Linked DNA regions of Saccharomyces cerevisiae S288C. Changing the gene in region 3 together with the main gene of any one other region gives a genetic interaction. Each region holds a gene or a part of one and is shown on either strand. Other genes may lie near its edges.

Region 1 (3,601 bases), on a different chromosome or scaffold from region 3:
CAAGTCTGAAGGGCAGATCAGAACCAATTCGCAACTAAGTAAGGACATTCTCATGGGTGAACCAGGTGATATGGTTGATCTGTCCTCTTTTGTCAACGCGCAGAGAAAAGCCTCAAATGAAACTGGTGACTTAGTCTTTAGTTTATCCCAGGATGATGACGCACTGAAAACGTTCCATGCGAGCAACAGCGCAGCAACAAGCAATGAAAGCTGGTGTATTAGCGATGATGCGTTAGGAAAGCAGGCGCAGGACAGTGAAGTTAGGAGGAAAAGAAAATCCAAATTAGGACTCTTTAGACATATTTTTTCAAGGAAGTAATACAACAATATTAATAATAAGTAATAAAAAGGTGAATCGTAACCTTAACGGCATTGATTGCATGTAGTTTTAATAATAAAGTGTAGAATAATAAATATAAAATTTCAAAGTCATCAGAAATAAAAATTGAATAGACATATACATATAGAAATTACTTCTATCATTTAAATACATATATATACATACATGTATACGTGTATACTTGTACTTGTGAAGGACTCAATAGTTGTATTCGTTTGGTTTTTGACCAGAAGTGTTTGGGAAACCACATTCCAATAAGATATCGTTAATCAATTCAGGTTTTTCAGTAATCTTGGAGAAAACTTCATCATTTTTGGTTAAGATCATACCACAATAACCTGTGGAGTTGAAACCTATCTTCATTTCATCAGAAAAGGCCTTCGAGCGTGGAACGACACAGATCCATTCCTTGGTTAACATAAGATTGTAGGATTTCTTTAGTTCTGGATTTTCGTTCAACCAGTCCTGGAAAAAGGTCAAAGCTCTTTGCAATATGGAGATGTAACACATAGCTAATAGGTCTTCATCAACAGTTTCTTCAGACTCCGGCATTGGCAAGACAAAATGAGCGAACGAGACTTTAGCATCTTGCAAAGGTTCAGTATTGAAAGTTGGTAGGAAATGTTCTTTACCATTACATAGTCTATCTTGGAAAGTGACGAACTTTTCAGGCATTTGCAGAATTTGCAAATGTTTGTGGTCCAATGAAGAACCACTGGCTGGACCAGAATTGTAAAAGACCATGTGTCTCTTGTCGGATTCTTCATTGTCCAAGGCACACAGCAACTTATAAGCAGTCAATAAATCGGTTGGGGTCAAGGCATCAGTTTGATGTTGGTATTCGTTAGTTACCAATAAAGTGTGTTCAGGGATTACAGGGAATTTGTTTAATAGCAATTTATACGCTTTGTTATCGGCACCACCAAATTCTGGGATAACCGTTAATTCTTCCTCAGGTTTGCCTAGTGGATCCTCTCCTTCTGGAGTTTGGCCACGCTCTGGCTTTTCGATCAGACTTGGCATGTGACTAATCAAGTATGGCATGCTGGTTTTTGGGTCCTTTGTTTTCGTTGTTTCAGTCTGGATAAATTTTAAGTTACCATTATCGAAGGCACTTTTGTACTTGTCACTAATTAAAGATGCAATGTCAGCGGGGATACTCATTTTTATTTTAATTTTTACTTTTCTGTTTGTTCTAAAATCTATCTAAACTGGCTTTCAAGATCAATCTATTGTCTTTTAAGGTAAACTTTAAATTGGAAATAATAGTAATGTTAGTTCCTTCATTTTAACCTTGTATTGTATTTCCTTTGCGTGATGAAAAAAAAACTGAAAAAGAGAAAAATAAGAAAATCTTCTAGAACGTTCCGAAACAGGACACTTAGCACACAAATACAGAATAGGAAAGTAAAAGGCAATATATGAATGCAGTGCTTGTAACTGGTGCTTGTATCCAAGAATAGCTTCTTGCTGTAGGTTATGGGAATATCGTGTAAGCTGGGGTGACTTTTGAGCTATTCGCGACGCCCGACGCCGTAATAACTACTTTCGACAGACCACTTATGACAGTATTTCAGGCCGCTCTTATAAAATGACATGTTAACAAACAGTTCTGATTATTCGCCTTTTGACAGGACGATAATGTAAATAGTTGTGGTAGTATCATTCAGGTATGTAACTGTTTACTTTGTATCGCTTGAAAAAAATAAGCATTTCAGAGCCTTCTTTGGAGCTCAAGTGGATTGAGGCCACAGCAAGACCGGCCAGTTTGAATGCTCAACTCTTCAAAAGAAATTCCTCAAATATGTCCAGTTTCATGTACTGTCCGGTGTGATTTATTATTTTTTATTTACTTTGTAGTTCTTAAAGCTAAGATTTTTTTCTTTGATAAATTCTTGTTTTCATATCCTAAAATTAAAGGGAAAATAAACAATACATAACAAAACATATAAAAACCAACACAATAAAAAAAAGGATCAAATACTCATTAAAGTAACTTACACGGGGGCTAAAAACGGAGTTTGATGAATATTCACAAGATAAAAATCATATGTATGTTTCTGATATATCGATATACAATCAAACACTTTCAAGAATTTGTTTGTAGACTTTTTGCTAGAGACCTCATCAAAGTGCTACCAACTAAGATCAACTTATACTTCTTTTAGAGAAAATTTTTTTCAATGTACTCCAAAGAGATTTAGATCCTGTCTCTTCCTCTTCCTCTTCCTCGAAAGTCAAAGAAAAATCAGAGTCTCCCTGCTTATTCAGGCGGAGAGGCTCTAGGGTAGTTGCGTTTCTCTCATTGGGACACTGAACCTCATTTTCCAACATTTTGGTCATGTAAGAGGCGACAGGCTCATCGCAGGTGGGTGCATCAACATGGTAGTACCTGGACCAAGCGCTACATTGAGTCCCTCCTGGATAAACACCGCTACAATATTGTCTTTGGACGTTTGCCCAAACCATATCTTTTGAATACCAAAGCTGGACCACATTGTATGGCCTAATCATTGGTGCTACCATAATACTGGATTGGGAAACAGTCTGGTTAATTTTTTTCAACCAATTTTTCTTATCTAGCAATGATTTAATAAACCTGAAATCTAAATTGTCTTCGTTAGCGTCTGTGTCATAATCTACAATTGAGTACTGTGACGTCCAATTATATGGCACCGAGATGGGGAATCTGTCCGGTGTTTCGTCGCTGTTATCCTTCTCCTCCCTCCAAATGCAGTCAGAGGCAGGTGCCCATTCGGTTCGCCAGTCTCCGTTATTTACTACTTGGTACTGTTCCCAATCGTAATACGTTTCCTCTGGGTTGAAGATACTTGCTCTGCTCTTGACATTGCCCATAGCCACACCACGAGAAACATCGTGGAAGATTACGGAGCTGTTTACGATAGCAGGAGCAATGGATTTGACGAATGACACTTGATAAAAGTCTTTGGTCGAAAATACAGTATCAACGCCGTCGTGGGACTCGACCCCTGGTAGAAGAAGCAGAGCATCTAGATCAACGGTAGATGCTGCAGAGGTCAAAGCCACAAAGAGGGAAGATGCAGTTACGAGGTATTTACTAAACATTGGTTCGAAGTGATTACAGATTTTTCTCTCTTGAACCCTGGAATTGCAATAGCTTGGTTCCTATTGGGACCGGACCCTCTTGCGTAAAGTATATATTTAGAAGCAGCTATTTAAATCTGAATGCAAGACGAAAAAAAGCTCGTTTATAGGAGAAAAATACCAAAAAAAGGAAAA
Region 2 (3,213 bases), on a different chromosome or scaffold from region 3:
AGGGGCAGCCACTATCCCAGTGTCACTGACCACAGCTGGCTTGGTGTTGACCTATAACTTGGGCTTGAACCTGAAGTGGGAGCCATCAACCCCACAAAGAAACGGCCCCATCTTATTATGGGGCGGTGCAACTGCAGTAGGTCAGTCGCTCATCCAATTAGCCAATAAATTGAATGGCTTCACCAAGATCATTGTTGTGGCTTCTCGGAAACACGAAAAACTGTTGAAAGAATATGGTGCTGATCAACTATTTGATTACCATGATATTGACGTGGTAGAACAAATTAAACACAAGTACAACAATATCTCGTATTTAGTCGACTGTGTCGCGAATCAAAATACGCTTCAACAAGTGTACAAATGTGCGGCCGATAAACAGGATGCTACCGTTGTCGAATTAACTAATTTGACAGAAGAAAACGTCAAAAAGGAGAATAGGAGGCAAAATGTCACTATTGACAGAACAAGACTGTATTCAATAGGCGGCCATGAAGTACCATTTGGTGGCATTACTTTCCCTGCTGACCCAGAAGCCAGGAGAGCTGCCACCGAATTCGTCAAGTTCATCAATCCAAAGATTAGTGATGGGCAAATTCACCATATTCCAGCAAGGGTCTATAAGAACGGGCTTTACGATGTTCCTCGTATCCTGGAAGACATTAAAATCGGTAAGAACTCTGGTGAAAAACTAGTTGCCGTATTAAACTAGATGACGAACAGATATTATTTTTCTTTTGTATACACAGTTATTACGTATGTTAGAGTGACTTGGTTTTTTTTTTTTTAATGAAATTGTTTGTTATTGATCACGCCTTGTAGGGGAAACAGATGAGAACAGTGAAAATCATAACTCATTATGTGATTTGTTGTGCGTCACCCTTCCATGATTATATATCCTTACTATCTACTATCCAACTACTACATATCTATTGAACTCATATGTACCAAGCACATAAAATTATGCACCTATTTCCATTGGCAAAGACTTGGCGAAATTTAATACACTGTAATAATATCCGGCGAAGCTCTTTAAGAATTCTTACCTATAATAGCGGCTCGCTGTCCGAACGATTGCGCCGCACTTTTCTGCCTCTTACATTCCCTTTTCCTAAGGCGATAAGCAGGCTGAATGGAAACTACGATATAACGCAGTAGAGGTCCCCCAAGAGCTGGAAAGAAAATATTGGTTTGATAGCCAGCACTATTCTATCCAGTGGGCTCTTGTACCATTTTCTGTGGTATGGCTTTGATTCAACTGCATACGTAGTTAACGCGATCAGCCGCACATGGGCATTATCATTTTCAGGGGTACTGGTAAACCCTATTGTTTAGAAAGAATACCTGGTAAGCGGGTCTGTCGAGTCTTTCCCACTAATTTTGAAGAAAAAATCTTTACCTAGTTTGAGAATAATCGTGGCGTTCGTAACATCACGAGGTGAGAGAGACCAGTTAGGTAAGGGTATGCCAATAAAAGGTTATTGATACTTCAACGAATCTTCATATTAAAAGTGCCTTCACCAGAATAAAATTCTAACGTCATCCTAAAAAGCATCAATTGGACATAGTGAGGGAAAGTTTTCACCATTTAAAATCTATTCTGCAGAATACCATTCTAGACTATGATCCCTTAAAGATTCCCATTCTTTAAATATACAAATCAGGTTCAACAGCGTATCTTTATGGTATTATCGTACTACTGGCGACATTAGCAAATCCAAGTATCCTAACTAGGTTTCTAGTCTTATCTCTTGGTTTTCTCCATTAGATGGTAAACACGTTACCTTGATGGCTGTACAGGAAGTGAACATGGTCAACTCAAAGTCACCGGACTCAAAATAATTGCAATTACCTAGACTGGATATTTTTAGAATATTATGAGAATATTTTTAGAATACTTGCAACCCAAAATATATTTAAATGCCGCCAATTTGCAACCAAAAGATTATCCGCTACCTTTTTTTTAGTCATTGAATTGTAGCATAAAGTTCCGAGCTTTGAAAAAAAACTTTGAACTAAGAAAAGGTAAGAGATCCTCAATTATGATATTACTTCATGCCATATATACTCTTTGGGTAATTATACTACTTCCGCTACTCAATGCAGAGAAATTTGTCCCAAAAGTAACGGAGGCTCCTATAGAAACATCATTTAATCTAGTGAGTTTTGATGATTCCAACACTTCTATCAGATTAGATGGTTGGGGGGTTGTATGGATAAGTTTCGACGCTGGAGAAAATTGGGAAACGGTCAAAGAAATTGAAGAGCGCATTTTCAGATTTACTGTTGATCCTTTCCATGGACAGGAAAGAGGTTTCGCTTTTATATGTGAATCACCCAAATTCTACATTACCGACGACCGTGGGGAGTCATGGAGGGCTTTAACTATACCCTCATCAGAAGAATATTTAGATGGCGACTGTTTTATAACTACTCATCCTAGAAACAAAGAACTTCTTATTGCGAATTGCTATAGCTATATGATAGACGCAGACGTTTTATATGACCCAAGTGAAATTTACTTGAGCAATGATGGGAATCCTTTTTTAAAATTAAACCTTCCTTGGAAAAGAAAAAAGACGACGATATAACAACTTAAAGCTGTCATTTCATTAAGTCTAGCAAGGATTCTGACTTTACTGGTAATGATACTTCGATACTCTGTTTGTTCTCTAACCGTGAATACGATGAAGAATATCGCTTAACTGCTACCTACACACAGTTGGCTTTCAGTAGTGATGGAGGCAAAACGTTTAAAGATTTTGATGAATTTAAAGATAAGATTGTTACTCAATACAAGATATTGAAGTCATATGTGGTCGTTTTAACGCAAGATGACGGGCATAACGAGATGTCATCTACGGACATCTGGATATCCAATGATGCATCTACTTTTCAAAAGGCACAGCTGCCTACTCAATTACGGCACGTCAAAGTGATTAAAATTCGTGAAGATTCTATCGGAAGGATCATCCTTCTTATATCGACAGAAATCACAAATGAGGAAAATGCTGATCCAGATCTCTCAGAGATTTTCATATCAGATTCGCAAGGGTTGAAATTCTCACCTGTTGAATGGACACCAAACCATCAGTTTGGAAATTTTAGGCTCACTTTTCCTGATTTCTTGAAAGGGACAATATTTGGATCGTTTCATCCTTCCATTGACTATTCTAATCACCAAGTAAACTATACTGAAAATATAGCCGGAGGAGA
Region 3 (3,237 bases):
TACTACAAATAGTGCCATTACAGGATGACTCACTCAACTACTTAGTAAGTGTTGCTGAAGTATACTTTCCAACTGCAGAAATAGAGGAGCTGTCAAATCTAATTACCAACTCTTCAAGCGCTTTTTACACGGATGGAATGGGTACAGCAAAATCTATGGCTGCAATGGTTGATTCCTCAATACCGCTAACGGGCCTCTTACACGATAGTAACAGCAACTCTGGCGGATCTTCGGACGGATCCTCCTCCAGTAATTCGAACTCAGGATCTTCAGGTTCAGGATCTAATTCGAACTCCGGTGTGTCTTCATCTTCCGGAAATTCCTATCAAGATGCCGGTACTTTGGAATATTCATCCAAATCTAACTCCAACGTATCCACTTCTAGCAAATCAAAGAAAAAAATCATTGGTTTAGTTATCGGCGTTGTTGTTGGTGGATGCTTATATATTTTATTCATGATTTTTGCTTTCAAGTATATCATAAGAAGGCGGATTCAAAGTCAAGAAATTATCAAGAACCCAGAAATTTCCAGTATCAGTTCAAGTGAATTTGGTGGAGAGAAAAATTACAATAATGAAAAGAGAATGAGCGTTCAAGAATCCATAACACAATCTATGCGAATTCAAAATTGGATGGATGATAGTTACTATGGTCACGGGTTGACAAATAATGACTCAACTCCAACCAGGCACAATACATCGAGTTCCATACCAAAAATTTCAAGACCAATTGCTAGCCAAAACTCCCTGGGTTGGAACGAAGTTTGATAGCAATGTCTGCAGAGACTTTCTCCGCTTGCATAACCTTATAAACTTATAACGATACCTACTTATTTCATATCTTATGTATAGTTCTCCTTCAAGGAGACGTTGTTTTAATACTTTTATCTATTCCATTTATCATTATCTACTTTGTAATCAAAGATCGAAGCACTGCTGTGTGCGTTGATTTGGGCCTGACACGAGAAGAAAGTGCGTTACGTACATCAAGATTTTATTCAAAATCCAGCGTCTCCTCCGCAAAAAAGTTCAGAATACATTTGAATGAGTCCTCTGGATTCTCCAACAGTAAATTATGCCCAGTATTAAATTCTCGGACATCAGCACAGGGAAAGTTATACCTCAGGAGGGAATAATCATTGTTAATAAAGTTAGACTGCAGGCCTTTCATGAATAAAACTTTACGACTGGCTGTGCCTTTTTGGAAGAAGTCCCTTTGGTTCGATAGATCCGGCCATTTTTTCACTTCATCCAACAGGTTCGGCATGCTGGAGAGAGGCATTGAGTAATTTATATAAGGATCATGCTGTTGTTGTTCATAGTGTAACTGTGCTTGGTGTACATTATTGGATTTTACAGAAAGAAAACCGTTGGCAAAGTAGAGTGCCACAGCTCCACCACATTTCCTCTTATTACATTCCAAACTTTTGAAAAGCTCAAGAACTTTTTTCTGCCAGCTGGGGGAACCTCTTAAAATCTTGACATCTCTGCGGATAATCCGCATTATTAAGTCATAGTTTTGTAATATCATGGGATCTAATTCTGGGGTTTCATAAGGCGGTAAATCAATTGATATACACTTTCGTATATTAATATTCTTGTACAATGTGGTTAATAATGCAATTTTACCACCCATAGAGAATCCCAGTAAATAAATAGGTCTCTCCAAGCCAATATGAGTTTCAATAAAATAAATCAAATCATTGGTCAGTGTAGTGTAGTCATAAGGTATTGCTTTTGGTGAAATGCCATGATTTCTTACATCAACAGAAAAAATATCCGCGTCAAGCTTCCTTGAAAGAAGCTTATTGAGAGAATGAAACATCACGTGTGAGCCCAAAAGGCCATGGATGTTAATAATTGCAGGTCTTTGCTCGAATTTTATTAGCGATGAAACATCTGAGGGTAAACGCGTTCTATGGAATGATAAATCGACAATTATTTTATAAGGTAGCGCTTTATTATGCGCTAGTCTCGACATTTGTAAGCCCTCTTCCCACGGTTCCTTTTATTTTGCAGTTTGTATACGTCTCGACCTTGGCATGAGACAAAAACAGTTTCCCCAAAAGACGCGCTGTGGTATTCAGTAAAGGCTGGTTTCTATGATAGGTTGAGTTTAGAATAATTTTTAAACAGGATACTAAGATAAAGCAAATATTTCAATCATGTCCAGATTAAGAAGATTCAATAGAAAGATCTTAAGCTTGAGTTCTGACTACACTCATGACGGTGAATCTGATCAAGAAGATGTATCCATATTACCATTAGATACAGAAGAGCAGGAAGAACTCATACAAAAATTTGAGACTAATGCTCACATCACAAATAAGCTGTACATAAACCTGTTAAGCATATTGTATTTGCTATATGGCGGACTGCTAATGATACTCGTAAGAAAATCGCGAGGGTATATTAAGTTAGCACTTCTTGCTGGCGCTAATTCTTTGATCTGTTCGTGCATCACACTTAGATATGATATTGTAAACGACTATCTTTTGTTCAAAAAGTTTAAGTTAAGAGTGAGCAATTTTTCTATTAACATAATAAACATTATTTTACTAGTACTTATGGCTTGGATAAGTTTCAATCATGTGGTCGAAGATAAAAAAACGGTGCTCTGTTTGCAAGTTCCAATGTTTTTATTCTGGGTCGCTGTGCTTGTGAAAAGATGGGCTCGAAATATCGAAGATGAAATCGCAGATCTAAGATGCTTGAAATACAAATACAAAAATGCTTAGTTCTATATCGCGACGTATTGTAATATTCATTGGTTAGTATATTCCGGAATATTTATTACTAATATTACAAATTGATTGGTTGGCAGCTCCTTATTTGTGAACAAGGCCAAAAAGTACTGCTACGAGCTTATTCAAGCATACATATATATAGCTTTAATTCCAAAATCATCGTCACAGGAATCTGCTTTAAAATCCAGTAAAAGACTAACCTAGTCAAAGGGGACATAGAATAGCTTACAAGAGGATTCAGTTTGGAGCTAACACTTTCTTCGGAACTTTCCAGCTTCGTACAAAAGTGCAGATACGTTAAAAGATCAGTTTATCCGTATGTTTTGAAAAGGCTATCTAGTGCAGAAGTCTCTAATTTCAATATAATAGCTTGCTAAATAGTCTTCGAGGCGTTGCATATCTATCAAGAAAACAACATGACCAATGTACCTAGAATTATAATTAAGTAGATGATGCCAATGAGGTGAGCGAGCAAAACCATGTCAATTGGA

Evidence for each region.
Region 1: mutations in YGR016W (region 3) and APA1 together harm fitness more than expected from each alone (negative genetic interaction), as found in Saccharomyces cerevisiae (one large-scale study listed by BioGRID).
Region 2: mutations in YGR016W (region 3) and YCR101C together harm fitness more than expected from each alone (negative genetic interaction), as found in Saccharomyces cerevisiae (one large-scale study listed by BioGRID).

What each region holds. Positions count from the first base shown.
Region 1 is NC_001135.5:37,298-40,898, forward strand, and holds APA1 (bifunctional AP-4-A phosphorylase/ADP sulfurylase), read right to left. Parts: upstream 1,505-3,601; coding exon 539-1,504; downstream 1-538. Other genes in the region: LRE1 (Lre1p), read left to right, coding at 1-319; YCL049C (uncharacterized protein), read right to left, coding at 2,489-3,427. UniProt on the Saccharomyces cerevisiae protein: Ap4A phosphorylase catalyzes the phosphorolytic degradation of bis(5'-adenosyl) tetraphosphate (Ap4A) into ADP and ATP. Can also use other Np4N' nucleotides (where N and N' stand for A,C,G or U) as substrates with equal efficiency.
Region 2 is NC_001135.5:301,857-305,069, reverse strand, and holds YCR101C (uncharacterized protein), read left to right. Parts: upstream 1-2,039; coding exon 2,040-2,588; downstream 2,589-3,213. Other genes in the region: YCR102C (uncharacterized protein), read left to right, coding at 1-709; EMA35 (Ema35p), read left to right, coding at 2,849-3,213.
Region 3 is NC_001139.9:520,097-523,333, forward strand, and holds YGR016W (uncharacterized protein), read left to right. Parts: upstream 1-2,164; coding exon 2,165-2,737; downstream 2,738-3,237. Other genes in the region: MSB2 (Msb2p), read left to right, coding at 1-767; EAT1 (putative hydrolase), read right to left, coding at 994-1,980; YGR016C-A (uncharacterized protein), read right to left, coding at 3,150-3,237.